4 linked regions of the Schizosaccharomyces pombe genome follow. Changing the gene in region 1 together with any one later gene gives a genetic interaction. Each region holds a gene or a part of one and is shown in the gene's direction. Other genes may lie near its edges.

Region 1 (3,911 bases):
GGTACATGGAAAAAGGGTGTTTTATTGGACCTACAAATAATTACCACTGTCGCGAGCAACATTTTTCCAATGTATATTAAAGTGTAGAAGACTTCTTTTGTAGGGGTTAGATTATTAGATTCGTTTTTTGGTACTACTATAACTGTTCACCACGGTGCTGTTTATAGTAAATAAAATGATGGGTGAGCGCACACAATAATTAATTTCATATTGGAGAGTATGAGAAAGCTTCACTACGGCTTTAATTTTAATTACTGAGTCGATCGAGGTTGGCCAAATTATACATAATTGAGAAAACAGCCAATTTAAAAAGATTACTTTGTATTTTTGAGTTTATAAGGAGATTTTAAGGCAATATTAGTTAGCATCAATTATAGCAAAATTATTATGGTCAATGAGAAACGTGTTTGTAGGCATTCTTCTATAAAAAAAAGAAGTAGGTACTATCTTTTTACAGAAGAATTAACTCAAATTTAAAAACCATATGTAATTGACATTCCGGTGTTTAATATACCATGCCGTGTCTGTTGAAACATTTTAGAAACGTTTGCTTTCATTGTGTTCACTAACATGTGTAAGTAATGTAAAAAAAATGAATACAGTAATGAAAGGAAGCCTACAGCACCCCGGATTCCCATGTTGTCTCCAACCATAGTACTAACGAGGCCCTCAGACGCTTAACTGCAGTGATCGGACGGGAACTGGTGTTTTCGCCTAGGTATGGCCGTAGACATTTGCTGTATAAGTTAAAATAATTTATAGTGCTAATTATAGACAGAAGAATACTCATACTCTTTGTATAATGTTGCGAAGAATTTGCGAATCCAAATGTATTATCACTCATGAATGTAATTTGTATTGTATATTAATAGTATTTTACATGAATATTTCGATTATGTTTTAATTCGATGAGCTGCTCGGCATCACTGGTATCCTAACATTGCAGAGTTGAAACATCAAATTATTCAACTCGTTAACAATGCGGTTGCTTCCAACTTTTATTCAACTTCTAATACTTGTTTCTGTATCAGTATTTAATTCTATCCAATTTTTTTTCATAATTCCTTTTTTTTTACTGGTTTGTTTACTCAATTTTTCACACTCACATATGAACGATTATGTACTAATATAGTATCTTTCATATCAAAATATAATATTAAAGAGGTACCGTTTTTTCCTTAACAGATTGCCTCAGAATCCTATCATTGGCTTCATATAGTGCATTTTACTGAAGTCGCGGAAATTATATCGATTTATTTTGTATTGAAAAAGAATTGTTTGTTTGCACTCGATTGTAGCTTTTATAGTGTTTTTTTTTATTATGGATTGAATAATTCTTCCTATTTAGCATCTATGACTTACTGATTAGACTTACAGTGCCAGATGTTTGGTTGAAAAAAGACATATGGAATAGTAGTTTTTAATAGGATTCTCGCGCAAATAAAAGAAGGTGAAAATGCATTTTATAAGAGTATTCAGTGAAAGATTTCTGGCTTCTGTGTACCGTCCCTCTCTTCTCTAGCTTACATAAATATGCCGTAAATTTCCGTATACTTGTGCATCTTCATCGGCTCCGGTTAATTTGCTAAATACCTTACCTCACCAAGAATCTACAATATCCTCAGAAAAGTAATACATTTGGCAAAATTTGCCAAATCAGTATTTTTGTATAGTACTTTATTTCCAATTTACTGTTCAGGTCTTAACGCTTGTCGTCCTGGTACCGCTATCGTTTAGAAGTTTCTTAAGTAGTCAAATTGAGGTTGTGGCACCATCAATCGTTCATAATTAGAGAAACATTTTAAGTGGTTTCTTTATTTTTCGAATGTGCTTGGGAGGGTAGTTGATTGATGGCCATTGTTTTTCCATTCCAACTTGAAAAGAAGTTGATATCAATTACTTCGGATAGGGACCAAATTTCTATGTCTATACCCGAGGTGTCGAGTCATGACAGTTGTTTAAACGATTGTCATTCTGTGAATTCGGAAGAACAGGCAAAACCAGTTTGTTGCTTAGAGTTGAATGCCCATAAAGATGGTATCAAGGTAGTTGACACTTCCAACGATGCCTCGACATTCTCCAATTCACCGCTTGTACCAGATAATTTTGGGGTCGTTTATCCTGGAATTATTTATCGTTCTGCATGTCCACGTGCTTCTAATTTCAATTTCCTGGAATCCTTACACATCCGTACCATTATATCATTAAGACAAGAAGAGTATTCCGAAGAGGATCTCCACTACTTCACTAAACATCACATTAATTATTATCATATTGCCATGCCTGGAAGCAAACATCGGAAAAACGATTGCATTTCCTCTTCCTCAAATCCCGACATTTCAGGTAAGCTTTCCACCATCTTAACTTGTTGCACACTTTGTTTAAAAATTAAAAAGATATTTTAATTATTCTTCATTCCTTGTTTCAAGTTTTTTTTTAATTACTTTACTTTGATTAGCTAACCCGCTTGCTAGACGTTGACGATCTTGTACGAAAAACTTTACAACTTCTTTTAAATAAAGAAAATTGGCCTGTTTTGCTCCATTGCAGTCGTGGAAAGGTAGGTTATTCTTTTCTTTAGATTATTTTCTTAATTATTGCTTTGCTAACGATTCATTAAGCATCGCACAGGTATTGTAATTGGTTGTCTAAGAGCATTGATGAATTGGCCAGTCGGAAATCGTTTACAGGAATATATGTAAGTTTTCATTTATTTCATTGTTTTCGTATCAATTGTTAACCTATAAAGATCCTTTTCACATCCCAAAGAACGTGAAGTTGACGAAGAATATATTCAGAACTTTTCATCAGATCCATCTCTAAAGTCTTCTCTCAATGATTTGAAACGGTATATTAGTGATTCATCTTCAGAATTAGCTGATGTCGTTTTGTCCAGTGAGTCTCCGACAGTGCAAGCTGCTACTGTGAATGAAACTTGTCGTTCTCCCGGTTCGTAATTGAATGCCTTATAGAGTATTCCTGTTTTTCAACTTTTTCTATTTGTGTTTATCACTTGGCTGTTCCATATATATATGTCTTTCGCTATTTTGTTCTTTTTCCTAGTTATAGCTTAAATGCTTAATAGCTACCAGATGGTACATAATTAGGATTTACCTCCTACATAACATTTTCTTTTATAATTTTTAATTCTTTCATAAACTTGTTTGCTTATATATATGTACTATTTACTATCCGAGGAATTTTTACAGAATTTCATAGGAGTAAGTAACTGTACATTTGAAGAAAATACGGTGGTGTTTCCACCACGTTTTCTTCGTCTTCTTTTTTGGAATAATGGTTTTGAGGTTCAACGTTGTATATATCGTATAATATATCACTTTTTAATATTCATTCATGAAGGTTTTCCCGTAACCGACTGCGTTGGCAGTTGCGAATGTAGTTAGAGCAATTGGGTATAGTCGAAAAGATTTGATTGATTTGGTAGCATTAATCATTAGATAGGCAATTGACCAAGCTGTACAAATTCCTGAACCGTTGGTTAAGTCTATATTCGTAAGGTCAATAAATTGCGAAAAGCAAATGAAAAACAATCCTAATAGTTGCAAAGACTTGAAACTTTTTAAAACGAAATTGAACACATTCATAAAAGCTGCTTAATGATCGTGAGGAGTAATATTTGAAATCAAACGTCTATCCTTAAATTCCTATGTATTTTACCAAGGCAACATATAATGAATTGGAATACTAGTCACCAAAATCACTTACCACCACTAGCAATTGCAAGACTGAAAAAGTAATTAGTAAAATAGAACAGTACAAAAGAAATAAGTATATTTGTAAATACCCTCCTATAGCATTGAATCCACCACACAAAAGACAACCAGGAACGAAAGGACCGCCATAGGGTCGTTTAAATGCTCTAGGTACAGAAGCAATTACTGTTTTATAGA
Region 2 (6,567 bases), on another chromosome or scaffold:
ATCGTTTTTTTCAATTTAGTGGGCAAATGCAACAAGGAGCTGGAGAGTAAACTCAACGTAAATGAGTATGAATCACTTGATGTATGTCATCTGATGAAGAAATAAGTAGACAAAGTCGGGAAAGTCAGTCATTAGCAATGACTGTTATCTTGACCATTTTTTTATTTGACTCAGCCTTCCAGCAATGATGAAGCGATCGAAGTGGCAATGATTGAAAGATTTATAGAGTAGCGATAAACTTTTGTGATGAGAAAAATTATTGCGAAAATGAGAATTCCGATCCGACTTTAGGTCGAAAGATTTGGAATGAAATTGTTAGACTAACTAACTAGTTGACTGACCTTTGTTAATACAAACAAGATGATTTAAATGCTATGCCATGTTATGCGATGCAATGAAATACACTATACAATATAATACCATACAATACAATGCGATTTTGATGGGATGCGATGGGATGCGATGGGATGTGATATGATGATGATTGTGACTAGATTACTTTTTAGCATCATCTAGGCGACACCAACTCGCATCGAATATTGTGATGTGCGAGGGATTTTCCTTAAATATTATAAAGTACTGGAAGGAATTCCAATGAAATACGTAATAGGGAATGGCTGATCTCATGGAATCGGTCGCGTCGCGTCGCGTCGTGTTGCATTCGCATAACGTAACGTAAATCGTAAGGAGATTCAGGAGTTTTTCTTGCGAAATGCGCAAAATTACGTAATGGTAAAATAATGATGAAATAACGAGGCTGGATTTTTATGAAGAAAAATCTAATCTGATTGTAGCTTAGATGTCAACTTGACATTTCACACTTTTTGAGAGTTGCCTGTTGGACACTGAGTGCGACTGAGTAACGTTGACATAGACATTTTTTATGTAAAAGTATTTCACCAGTATGAGAAGTGAGATCTGGACTGAGACTGAGCTGGACCGTTGCTGTGTCGCTGGGCTGGGTAAACAGAAGAAAGAGATATGACAAGGAGGTGAAACTTTGGATTCACTTGGTATGCTATGAATGATGAAAAGATGAATGAAGCTTTAGTTAATAAAAATAAAGATGCAAAAGAACAAAAGAAATGAAGGTAATTTGGTTGGCTTTTACAATAGTACCCCCAGAATATGGAGAAAAAAGTGGAAAAGCAAGCAAAAATTGAAAAAAATTTGACTTTTAGAATATTTGGCACTTTAAGAACCTGCTCAGCTTTAAAACATGAATAATTAGTTAAAATGCTAAATAATTCTTCTTTCTATTTAATCATCTGGATATTTATGTGCGTTCTTGTTTATACATTTCTCGAGCTGTACCGCTATGCAACGTGCGCCTTTAATGGGTTATACCATGGCACTTTAAACTAGTTTGGTATCCAAGTGCTGTCTCGCACGCAGAGATACGCAAAATGCTGTTTAGACCGCAACGCATAACTGTGTATTACACGCAAAGCTATCACACTGCGGTACGTTATATTAAACGTAGTACCATGCAATGTGTTATCACGTTGTACGGTATTTCCATCATTTTGCTGCTGAAATCTGTTAACTCAAATTGGCAATTCGTTTAATTGCTTTAAAAATAATACGGCGTTTGAGAAATAGTACGCTATCGTTTAGTCGGGTAGTCAAATCGTCAACAAGAGTGAAATTTGGAAGAATAACATGATTTTGTCCCTCTTCAGACATGGTCTTTCTGTAAATAAGTTGATACACATGGCATGAGAAGAAATGAATATCTTAAATTCGGATACCTTTTTTTACGAAGGATTTTCCCACTAACTTTTGAAATATTTTAGATTTGGTATAGAATTGCCCATCGTCTAACTAGCTTTCCATGCTCATACAATAGTTTTTTGAAAGGTGAGGTGAAAACTGTACAAAACAAATTTTGGAACAGAAGAGTTCAATGAAAAACTCATTTTCGCTTATACTCTTTCTTGTTGAAATCTTTTCCTCCTATTATTGATTTTTGTTCGATTCTCATGGACTTGGTAATGTTGCACTCCTATCCACAACCGATCATATGAGTATTGAGTCTGTTTTGCATACACCAACACCTTTCGCCAAATAATTCCCATTTCGTTTTTAGTCTCTGCTCAAAACAAAAAGACAACATTCTAAAAGAATCCCATTGCATTCATCTCCCCATTCATCTTCATCTATGATAGAGGACCATGTATTCATTCAATGTCTTGTGCGATAAAATTAAAGCTTTTCATTAAATCCTCCTTCATTTAGCATCATCAGCTCTAATCGTTCCTTTCTCTTTTTTCCTATTGCCCGTTCATCCATCCTAGTATTTTTGGCTTGTTTACACTGACACATGTGACGCGACAGCCAAACGAATACCGCGACACGTTATTTTTCCTTATAGTACCCTTTTTCTCACGACAAGCTCTTCTCGTAATCGAAACAATACCACCATCACTCTGCCTCGGTTTTTTATTTTTGCGTGCAAATCTTCATCATCGATAGACTCTCGATATTCTGGATTAAAGAGAGGGGTCTCCCCCTCTCCACCTCGTATACAGAAACCGCAATACGGGACCCAATGTTGGGTCTCACAATTTTACAAAGCTGACGTCGGATGGCAGAGGAACCCACGACTTACCTTTAGCCAAACACCCTGGTACGCTAGTGAAAAGACCGTATTTTGGAGAGGTAAAAGGGCCAAAGAGATCCTTGGAAATGAAATTAAAGGTCAGTATTGGCTGCGATGCACAGCACACACAGATTGCTTGGGTGAATTATGAAGGGCGGCCTACTGAAGTCGATGGCCCGTTATGGGTTGGTAGAATCCTCGTTCGCGTACGCGATTTCGATGGTTTTACTCCTGACGGTAGCCCTCCAAAGAGAGATTCCGAGTATTTTCGAGGTCGCTCACGAAAGTTTCAAATACAAGCTGAAGGCCGATTCAAAAAGGAATACAATGGAGATCAAGTCATTTATGGCACACAGTTCGACCATATGATCTCTACCTTCCCAGAAAGTAAGTTTTTTAAAAGCATATTCTTTAGTTTTCTTCTTCGTTTTATCTCATTTCGTCTTTTTTTTTCCGCGGTGCTTAATGCTAATTCCTTTTCACTAGGTGCTTTCCGAGCTGGTATGCGGATTGCCAAATATATTGACCCTGCTGTGTATTATGATAAATATGCCAGATCCCCGTATATCATGTCACCGTAAGTATTGATGCTCGTCTGTTGGATATGCATAATAGAAAGGGTCGAAAATTTTTACAATCTGGGCATTGCCTGAAAACAAAGGTTTATTGAAAACAAAAGACCGAATTTAGGCATCTTGATTATTCGCTTTCTTTCTTTCTTTTTTTTATTTTTCTTATAATTTTTTAATCACCCCATCGGTTTGCTTCCACTACCTCTTGAGTTCCTGATTCAAATCATATAGTCTTTTTGTTTTCTGGCCTTATCGATTGCAAGGTTTTCCATTATCCTCTCAGATTATCTTTTTTTTTAAAACACGATTTTTAACCTTTTGACTTAGATTCGTCGCTTGTGTGAATACACTCTCTGCATGGCCGGCTCCATCGCGTCTTGAAGATGCTGTTATTTCATTAGTGGAAGCTGATTCTCAGGAATCAGACACTGAATCGTTACCTGAAATTAACGACTCCTCGGATGTCAGTTTATCAGACCTTCCCTCTACCAACGTTACTCCCAAGAAAACCACGACACAAATAGATGTTCAAACAAATATTGTTACTCCGCCAATTACTGTTACAGCAGTACCCGACTCTCCAAATCCCCCTGCTGCTACCCCCGCTACCGTTGCAGATAATGATGATCTTAGTATAGTATCCTCTGATTCTGGAAATACCACTGCACCTCGAAAAAATAGACACCGGTATTGGAGTTTTGCTGGATTTAGCGATAGCACACGGTTTTCACATTTAAACGTTCCGGCTGCAATACCGGATGCTCCATCAGTTAAGACTGAAACTTCCCAAAACGTGTCTCAATTATCTGTAAAATCTGCAGCTACTTCTCTAGCTCCTGTGGAGGATGATGAAGACGATGAGCTTTTATTACATCGTCACATTACCAATAAACATAAGGATTTTAATTTACATGTCAAGCAGCTAGGATTGCTTCACAAACCTAGTTTGGACCTGGAAGAGGGTTATATAATGGATGAGAATTATGGAAAGGACGTGTACAAGCATGGTATTTCCAATGTTCCTGATGACGAAAATGAAGATGACTTGCAACGTTACTTTACTGCTTTAGAAATGCAACAGGATCAAAAGGAACAGCATAAGAAATCTAAAAACAAAGACCCGTTTCGTAAAATTACACATCCTTCTTTACATCTTGGAAAATTTTCCACGCCCAAACTAATAAAACGTATGTCCCTTCGCTCAAAAAAAAGTTTAAGAAACGATTCGAAATCGGATGACGTCGGTAATTCTACTCATCGATTTTCTACCGCTAGTGCAGCATCCACGTCTGCTGTAAAAACTGAAAAAGAAAAGAAAATGTCGGCGCCACGTCGCTCTCTTGATAAATTAATTCGCATAGGTTCTTTACACCGTCACCATCATCATCATCACAAAACCGACCTAATTGAATCTGACTCTGGAATTGAAGCCAGTGAAAGTAACCGTCGTAAATCTGACATTTTTTCTTTTTCTGGAAGAAACTCATTTTCCGTTTCTCGTCCTTCCTCTTCTCATTCCACGTTGTCATATGCCAATGATTCAGCATCATCTGCTGTTAACGTGGCTGGAGAGACTGGGTCGTTACCTCCGCTACGTGAACAAACATCTATAACCAGCGGTGTCCCACCTTCTAATAGGCTTAAAAAACACGTTTCAACACCTGAAAAGATTGTTGAGGAGCGATCGATTGATGAAGTATCACAATCTAATACTCCTTCTTCAAAACAATTGCCTCAATCTGTTGACGGAAAGACTGTTACCGCGAATGCTAATAGTACCACCGTCGCAAAGCAACCCACGTCTAATGTGGCGTTGACGAGGCCAAAGCCCGTGCGGACGGCTACTAGTCAATCAAAAATACCGAAACCTGTTAAACACATCCCTTCTGATTCAAATAATCTCGATCCACAACTTGGACCTTGGAGATTCGCCAATCCCAAAGTGGATCCTATAGAAGACAATTCGTTTATTTTTGGTGAACACAAGTCAGTAAAGGAAAGACGAAAGTACTTTTCAAGCTCCAAATTTTGTCGAGAAAATTTCTTTTACGATAAAGATGTAGTTTATTGCATGAGTTTCTTTTCCCCTCATATGGATTTTAATACCTTTAATTTGAATATCGGACCCATTCGGCTCAATGTTTATAAGCATTTGAACTCTGATGGTCATCAGCCAATCCGATATATGATGCGTGAAACCGATGATGAAGATGCTGTTATGTTTGTTGTCGAGTTTGACCTCCTCGAAGATGATGATGAGACAGTTCTTGCCGAGCAGGCTAAGGAGCGTGAAAGAAGAAAACAAACTTAACGATTATTTAGGCCTGTTTTTTGTTCTTTAGACTTTAATGGCGGTTTGTCTTGTATCGTCGAATACTGCTCTTTTTTGTGCTCTCTATAATGACTTTATGTTTCGGTACGCGACACTCTCTTTTAACTGTATAAATGGAAATTAGAGATTATGTTGCCGTAAATAAAATATGAAATGAGTTCGACTAGCCATTTAATTATTATCCTGGAAGGTTTTCTTTACATGGTAAATGATTTCGCTTATCTTTTTTTAATAGCAGGTGTTCAGTGTCAATATTTACGTTCCATCCTTCCGAAGCTATCATCGTTCCTTTTATATGGCCTAGTCGGCTTTCTAATGCATTTTTGTTTATATGCTTCTTTCAATACTTTATCTGTGTTTGTTCTTATGGACCCATTAGACATCATTTTTTTTAATATGATTTGCTGTAAGTCGGCTTTTTGTCTTTTTTCTCTTACCTATACATGTATAACCTTTATAAATGATTGTAGTTAATTAATTCGACCTTACTCTTTCTTTCATTTTCTTTTTTTGAAAGTAAGTAGTACAACTTCATTTACCATTTGCAAATCTACGTGGTATATAATACATATCTACTGACTTGCGTGTAAAATGAGCAAAATTGTCTTTACATAGCTACGCAGTCGCTACAGAACAATGTTTTTTGACATACACTATAGATGCAGACTAAAAAATTTTAGCAGAAAACAAATTCAGATAAACCTAAAGTTATGTAAGTTACTGTCAAAATTTTTAAAAGTTCAGTTAAGATTATTCCTTTTCCCTAATTTATGTTTTGTTAAAACTCTATGTTTGATGCATTTAAAACAAGAAGCCTATTGAACAGCGAAATATTAAGTTAATTGAAACATTAAAACATGAAAGATGCTGTTTCCAACGGATCTTAAAAACACGATTATACTAAAGAGATCAGCAGAAATAGTTGCCACGAGACAATAGGGAACATTTTCCGACTTAATATCACAGCCTTTATAATTCACAATATTTCAGTTAATGAACTACCGGTCTTTCGGTGAGTGTGCTGCTACGAGACGATGTATCGTCATAATCATACTCCCGCT
Region 3 (3,930 bases), on another chromosome or scaffold:
ATTGTACATAGTTATAGCAATACAAATTTCAGTTTTTCTCGGCTGAAAGAATAGGGGCTGCCTTAAAGTGAATAGGCTTTTCGAAAAGTCTTGTGGATCACATGTAGCAGCACTGTAGCGCATGTAAGCAAATTCTCGCTCTGTTTGCTGTGGAAGTGTAACCAATAACTTCTTAGGAATTGGACAATCGAGGATGAGATTGCCATGAAATAATTTAACTCGTTTAATACTTTTATTTCTTTGAATTTTTTCATTTGTTCTTTGGAAATTTGCCTCTCGGTTCATAGTATTTCCTTGCTTATTGAAGTTTGAAAAATTTGGTTGAGCAGTAAAACCTTCAAATGGAGATTGAATACTTTCCGTTTCATCTTTTAAATAATAATCGAGATCAAATTCTTTATCAGGAATAATGATTTTCGGTTTTAGAGGTTTTTTATTTTTATCAAATAAAATGGACGAAGTATCACTGTTTAATGACAAATTGGTGATTGTAGGATATAAGTGATTGGTTTCAACAATATCTTTATTTGTTAATCCAGCTGATTCCTCCTCATCAGGAGGGCGTGGTAGCGTTTTTTTGAACCACCTTCTCATCTTCAAGAGCCGTAGAAACGAGCCTCAAATCGCTCTATCAAATATACGCTTAGATTTTTTCTGTAAAGCAGCATCCAAGTTTATGATAGTGAGAATCAATTTTGGGGAGACAATTACAGTTGTAATGATTGAAACAATGGTTTGTTTAACCCTGAATGCTTGTCAACAATGTTTCAATTGCCAATGATTGTAGAAGCCAACGATATGAAAATAAAATATTATAAAAGAAGGAATTGTTATACTCTTTTAATATTTAAATACAAAGAGAGTAAGAAGATTAATGTTTACAAAAGAAAAAAAAGTGATGAGGTGGTGGAAGATTGCAACAAACTAAAGTGTACTTTTTTTATGATTGAAGAATGGCATTTACTCGCTATATTGTATGACAAATCTAAATACATAAAAATAATTATTTGTTCCGTATTGTTAAAACTAAATACAACTGTAATTATAAGAAGGAATACACATACCAAAGTTTATGTTATGAACAAATTTTATCAAAAGCTTAAAAAGTAAATCATATCTCATTATTTATTCATATAAAAAAAATTAAAAAATAACAATTTATACAATGGCTTGCTAAGGTATATAACAAAGCAAACGAAAAGCCAATTTTCTTCCAACATTACTCATTTTATTTAGATATATTATTATTTTAAACGATTTTCTTTTTATTCCAAACGTAATAGAAGTAGTTGAATTGTATAAATTATTGTTTTTTATATAATAAACATTTTTTTTCGCTATAATAATTGTTTTAAATAAAACAGATATTGGGAATTTAAATTATCCAATCTTTTTTTTGTTAAATTATTTTATTTTATTTTCCTCGACATTAAAATGCATCAACAATTGGTTAGTGTTAATTGATTCTCTTACTATCAATATTATCAGATTCAAAAAGCCCAACTTATCAAGAGTTAGTGAAGGAATCAGCAATGATCAGATAGAACAACAGAACAGTAAATACAATGCAAAACTTCGAAAACCGTGTATTAAAAGATTAAGACTTACAGATTTTCTACAAGCGTACTCCTTTTAAAAAGCCTCATTTTGTCCAAAGAATTGATAATGTGGGTATTTTTCGATGCGAAATCTACGAATACAAACAACTTCGCAAATTGGAGATTACTGCATACAAAATGAAAATGTATTTTCCTCGCAAGCTATTTATTTTGAAAAATTATAAATTACCTATTTTCTAATACAATCTCTCATTTTAAATATCACCGCAAATTATTTGGTCTCCGACAACTGTTTAGCGTGTCGGTTTGTACTTCACTATTTCGTTATCCCAACCTAAATCACTGGGAGAAACCTTCGGAAAACCACTTTTCGCGATCGATTTATATTCATCGGAATAGGAGATTTATATCTCTTCCTTGTTCAAAAAGAACTCAGATTCTTTTGAACATCTTGCTTTTGCCTTTTCAGACATCGTTTCCTTACTCTACCATAAGGCAAGAAATTATACCAAATCCATTCAACTTGTCGAAAAGAAGAGTACTTTATAGTTCATATGCTTGAAAATAACGGAAGTGTGATTTTAATGGAGCCGGATCATCTACGGACGGCAGTGAACCGCTCAATGACTTCTCGTGAAGGTCGAACGAAAAATCGATTCAATCCTATTACAGGAGCCAGACTTGCTGCGGGTGTTGTTGCTTTATCTGCAGACAAAAGGAAAGTCCTATTAGTTTCTTCTGCTAAAAAACATCCTTCTTGGGTAGTTCCTAAGGGTGGATGGGAGGCTGATGAATCTGTTCAGCAAGCTGCCCTTCGTGAAGGTTGGGAAGAAGGCGGACTAGTGGGTCATATCACTAGATCCCTTGGGTCTTTCAAGGATAAGCGTCCTACTGATACTATTGACAGAAGGAAAAAATATTTGAAGCAATTAATGTCAAAAAGTAGCGGAAATGACGTCTCAACCAATACCGAGTTAGGAGCCGAAGCAGAGAAATTATTACTTCCACCTAGAGCCGAATGTGAATTTTTTGAAGTTATTGTTGAAAGATTAGAAGACAATTACCCAGAGATGAGGAAGCGTCGCCGAAAATGGATGTCTTATCAAGAAGCAAAGGAAGCGTTGACAAGTCGTAAAGATATTTTGGCAGCTCTTGAGAAGAGCTCTATCATTAAAGAGGAAAACTGAAGTACAGATGCATAATGTTTACCATTTGCAACCTTTTATTCAAATATTTTAATTTACCATTTTTTTTGATTTCTTGCTTCAATATTTATCTTTTTCCATGGGATTACGAAATTGTTATATCTATTAGTTACCATGTCAAGTGTGTTAAAAAGGCTTGAAGTTTGCAAATCTTGATTCTTATTTTTTTTTTCAGCAAGCTGGGTCAAATTGAGTTTTCGACATAAAGCTCATTTCATGAAACATATATCCTTTAAAGGATTTCAGCGGTACAGCATATATTCCAGCAGTTCAACTGCTATTTTTTCTTTCCTTTTTTAAAAGTTTTTACTCTCTTTGTATATTTTCGATTAAGATCATTGTCTGCATAACATACTAATTCTATTTATAAATATATTTTCAATTGAATCGCATGATAATTCAAATTTTTTAAAACAAAGTTTCATTCCTTAAAAAATCATCTAATCCCACCTGTTTGATGCTAGGGTGCGAGTTAATCGTTATCGTTGTGTGCTATGCATAAAAAGCACATTAGTTGCTAGCATATTAATTGTTTGCAACCAATTTTGATTAGTGACGTTAATAAAAACAAAATTGTTCCATACGGTAAAACGTATTCGTTGTTAGATACTAATGAGCCCAAGAAGTTTCGTGTGTCAATTTGAATATGTCGTGTAATTTTATATTGGCTTTCAGCAATCATATAGCTATGAATTATAGTGAATCCATTGACGCTCATTACACTTACGTGCGATAATTTTAAAAAATACTTTTCAATTAGTAGTAAATAGATAGCGAAACGACGAACTATAGCAAACATCAATCCGTTAGTATAAATATTCGTACAAAATGCTTATATAAGAATTTGAGAATTACTTAATATATTTGATTGACGTTGTTCAACGTGAAAATGTACATAAAAGCAATTTATAACCACACCTAAAAATCCAAACAAACTGCAAAATTAAAAACGTAGGATTTAGCAGTTATGTTAGTAAAGCTTCAGCTATCAGAATAAAAAATTTTTAGAAAAAGAAACAAGAAGAAAATACATATATATATTTTTATTTTCAGAACTTTGACGGTCATAGCCAATTCTTTTAAAAATGAACTAAATAGCACTGTCTCACATTCTAACAATTGTCGTTAATCCTGTTAGATCCCAGCATAAGTTTCTGGATCTAATC
Region 4 (3,129 bases), on another chromosome or scaffold:
GTAAGAAACATTTATTTCATGGGTAGTAAATTTTAAACACCCAGGCCTAGGATCGTAAAAACCTCCATAACCCCCTTTTGTGAAAGGCAGCTCGACCACATCAATTGTTTTCTTTTTTCGTGCTAAACAAAGTAGCCAAAAAGAGGCAAAAATAAGTTAGTTTTTATTTTAAAAAATCAATTATTGATACTGAAGAAGAGGAATTGTTCTAAACATTTTGCATTTCCTCATGCTTTACACATGGATCAGAGCAAAAAAGTTGCGACTTACGAGAAACCACTGTAACATTTTGAAAAGAGCGTTTTAAGTGCTTAGGAGGTGTTTGATCATCATCTATCTGCTTCCGCCTTGGTGAATCCTTCTGTATAGCAGTTCGAACCGTTGGCTTTTCCGGGGATGTTACACTATTCGCTAGCCTTTCTAGCGGGCTCTTAATAGGAATAGCATCATTTGGGCTAGTACCTCTAGATTGTAAAAATATTAATATAGGAATGTGAATTAAAAGACGAGGTAAAGTCAAACCTTTGTTTTCCAAACGGGGGAAGAAGACTAGTGAATGACCCTGATTTATCATCCAGCTAAAAAATAGTTAGTAAGAAAAAGAAACGAAAAAGAATAACATACGGCATCTTTGGAATCTCTCATTCTTCATGACATACCTGTTTTGGCGAGATAGAGAAGCCTACTACTTAATCAATGGCACAGGTTTTGTGAGCCACAGCGCGTCCAAATAAAACATAAGGATTCATTATTTTGCGGTAGATGATCTGGGTAAAACAATGTAAATAAAGGGTATCAACCAATGCAAAGGATGTAAGTATCTCTAACAGTGTCTTTAACTCAATGTAAATGAATAAAAAACGAAAGGCATAGTTGCTTTTTAAGCTGATTTCTTCCTAACCTTTGATTAATCATATTACGATTGTTTTGATTTTTTAATAACGAATAGCGAACAAAATGTTGCTGTTAACTTCCAAGAAAATGATTTTTTGTAAACTATTCTAAATTCTTTTTATTGACTAGAATATATTTTACAGATCGTTTATTTAAACTTGTATTTATCTCTGATTTACGAATGCATTAGATACATTAGTCAATTGCAACCATAGTCGCATTAAAATCAATGTAAATTATAAAAAAAAATAACAACAATACATTAAGAACAAGTAAGAGCATGGGACATTCACGCATGAAAACCTGTTTGACCTTTGTATAATATCATGAAGAAGTATAATAATACCAATATTACTTGAATATTTATTATATGATATCATAGTAAAGAAAGTTAGTTTTGAACGATTTCCTTTCTAAACTATGTTTGGGACTAGATCATTTAAAACCACCAAATTATTTTGATAATTAAGAAGAAAAACTTCTGCTTTTATTTTTCGAAGGTTTACTATTTGTTATTAGTATGCTGATGATTCTGGGTTTATACTCATTTTCATAAACAATTTTGTAAATGATTAAAAGAAGAAAAATTTGTAAAATTGTTTTAAGAGTATTTATTAAGACTAATACTCTAATTTATATTCCCAGAACGCTATCGATACTTGCCTTTTGCGATACAGCATATTCCACACTGTCAACACTCAACGTAGCAACAGCCTACTCTGCAGCTGAGCATAAAACTACTCACATATCGTAAGTGAATTTGTTTTGATACATTGGAATTAAAAGTTATATTAAATTTTTGAAGATTAACCTTACTTTATAGAAAATGCGCGTAATTACTCTAAGCGGCATAACACTATTTTTGCTCGCCAGCTTAGCTTCGGCTATTGAGTTAACATTCAAGTTAGAAAACCAAGAGAAGCAGTGTTACTACTTAGATTCTTTTCACACTGGCGAAAAAACACATTTCACGTACGCTGTTCAGTCTGGCGGTTCTTTTGATGTCGATTATATGATCAAGGCACCATCTCAGAAGACCGTTGCACTTGGCAAAAAGAGAAGACAGGCTGATGTATTTTTCACCCTCGAAGAAAAGGGTGAATATGAATTCTGTTTTGATAATCATATGTCTACGTTTACTGATAAAATTGTGACTATGGAAATCACTATGGAAAATGAACTTTCTCTTCCTGCATTAACCCGTGATGAAGCCAAAGACTACAAAAAGGACAGCATGCAAAGTACTGTTTTAGAGATCTCAACCGCATTATCTGAAATTGACCGTGTACAAAATTACTTCAAAACTCGGGAGCATCGTAATTATTCTACTGTAAAGTCTACTCAAGCCCGCATCTTTTGGTTTAGTCTTGCTGAATCTATAATGGTTGTCGCTCTTTCTGCTCTTCAAGTCTTTATTGTAAAGACATTCTTTAAACGATCTGGTCGGAGAGGTGTATAAACTGACTAGTCGGTCACCTTTCTAACAATATTCATATCTGTCATGCCTATGTATGCCTTTAATCAGTCTTAACGAAGCTTATAGCTCTATTGTTTTATTCAGGATTATATTATTATGCCAGGATTTAAATAAGACAATCGACATGCGTCTTTATTAAATCAAGGATTACAATTTCTTGTAGTTGAAGTATTTTCCACTAAGCAATATTATTATTTCCTTCATTGCATTTTACAACTGTATTCGTGTTTCATACAAATTTAAGCAACCTATCAACGAAATAAAGAAAAAATGTGCTTAATGAGTATTTAAGTATAAAAAATTGTATACTATGAAAAAAAAAGAATGGGTAGGGTTAGCGGCCATAAATGAAGGATTAGACTGCTAAAAGGGCATAAAAATGAAATGAAAGCCGTTAAACTATTTGAAGTTCATAAGAAAGGTTTTAATATAAACCGAGCAGAACAACTGTACAACCAAAGTGAAAAGGGCAAAAAAGGGGAATAGAAATGAATAAAAAACGTAAACGGAGAAGACGCAAAAGCTCATGTAATAAAACTTTGAAGGTCGAAAAAATAATTTGCAGTCGTTTGACGTTATAATAAATGAAACTCAAGATCCTTTGTACTTGCAACTCACGTTTCAATAATGCGTAAAGTTAATAAAGTGATTCACTCATTTTCATTCATATTTACATCAGAAGCTGACCCAGAATCGCTATTATCTCTCTCTAAATCACTCTCTGTACCACTGCTTTCAAGTTCATCTCTTTTCAAGGG

Evidence for each region.
Region 2: mutations in siw14 (region 1) and duc1 together harm fitness more than expected from each alone (negative genetic interaction), as found in Schizosaccharomyces pombe (one large-scale study listed by BioGRID).
Region 3: mutations in siw14 (region 1) and aps1 together harm fitness more than expected from each alone (negative genetic interaction), as found in Schizosaccharomyces pombe (one large-scale study listed by BioGRID).
Region 4: mutations in siw14 (region 1) and erp2 together harm fitness more than expected from each alone (negative genetic interaction), as found in Schizosaccharomyces pombe (one large-scale study listed by BioGRID).

The regions. Positions count from the first base shown.
Region 1 is NC_003423.3:1,403,406-1,407,316, reverse strand, and holds siw14 (inositol pyrophosphatase Siw14), read left to right. Parts: upstream 1-1,584; 5' UTR 1,585-1,850; coding exon 1,851-2,343; exon of another isoform or gene 2,344-2,367; intron 2,368-2,474; coding exon 2,475-2,560; intron 2,561-2,621; coding exon 2,622-2,698; exon of another isoform or gene 2,699-2,749; coding exon 2,750-2,957; 3' UTR 2,958-3,341; downstream 3,342-3,911. Other genes in the region: protein aim19, read right to left, coding at 3,342-3,505, 3,727-3,746, 3,806-3,899. UniProt on the Schizosaccharomyces pombe protein: Cleaves the beta-phosphate at the 1- and 5-position of soluble inositol pyrophosphates. Has exopolyphosphatase activity in vitro but does not appear to contribute to the homeostasis of cellular polyphosphate.
Region 2 is NC_003421.2:351,768-358,334, forward strand, and holds duc1 (protein duc1), read left to right. Parts: upstream 1-1,680; 5' UTR 1,681-2,688; coding exon 2,689-2,989; intron 2,990-3,088; coding exon 3,089-3,179; intron 3,180-3,501; coding exon 3,502-5,485; 3' UTR 5,486-6,006; downstream 6,007-6,567. Other genes in the region: SPOM_SPCC594.02C (uncharacterized protein), read right to left, coding at 6,497-6,567.
Region 3 is NC_003424.3:198,122-202,051, forward strand, and holds aps1 (diadenosine 5',5'''-p1,p6-hexaphosphate hydrolase Aps1), read left to right. Parts: upstream 1-1,916; 5' UTR 1,917-2,113; coding exon 2,114-2,746; 3' UTR 2,747-3,396; downstream 3,397-3,930. Other genes in the region: chs1 (chitin synthase I), read right to left, coding at 1-594; SPOM_SPAC13G6.13 (uncharacterized protein), read left to right, coding at 763-1,110.
Region 4 is NC_003424.3:1,766,067-1,769,195, forward strand, and holds erp2 (COPII-coated vesicle-associated protein Erp2/3/4), read left to right. Parts: upstream 1-1,598; 5' UTR 1,599-1,644; intron 1,645-1,717; 5' UTR 1,718-1,720; coding exon 1,721-2,353; 3' UTR 2,354-2,579; downstream 2,580-3,129. Other genes in the region: SUMO deconjugating cysteine peptidase Ulp2, read right to left, coding at 1-122, 271-464, 523-578, 625-645; protein phosphatase regulatory subunit Glc8, read right to left, coding at 3,022-3,129.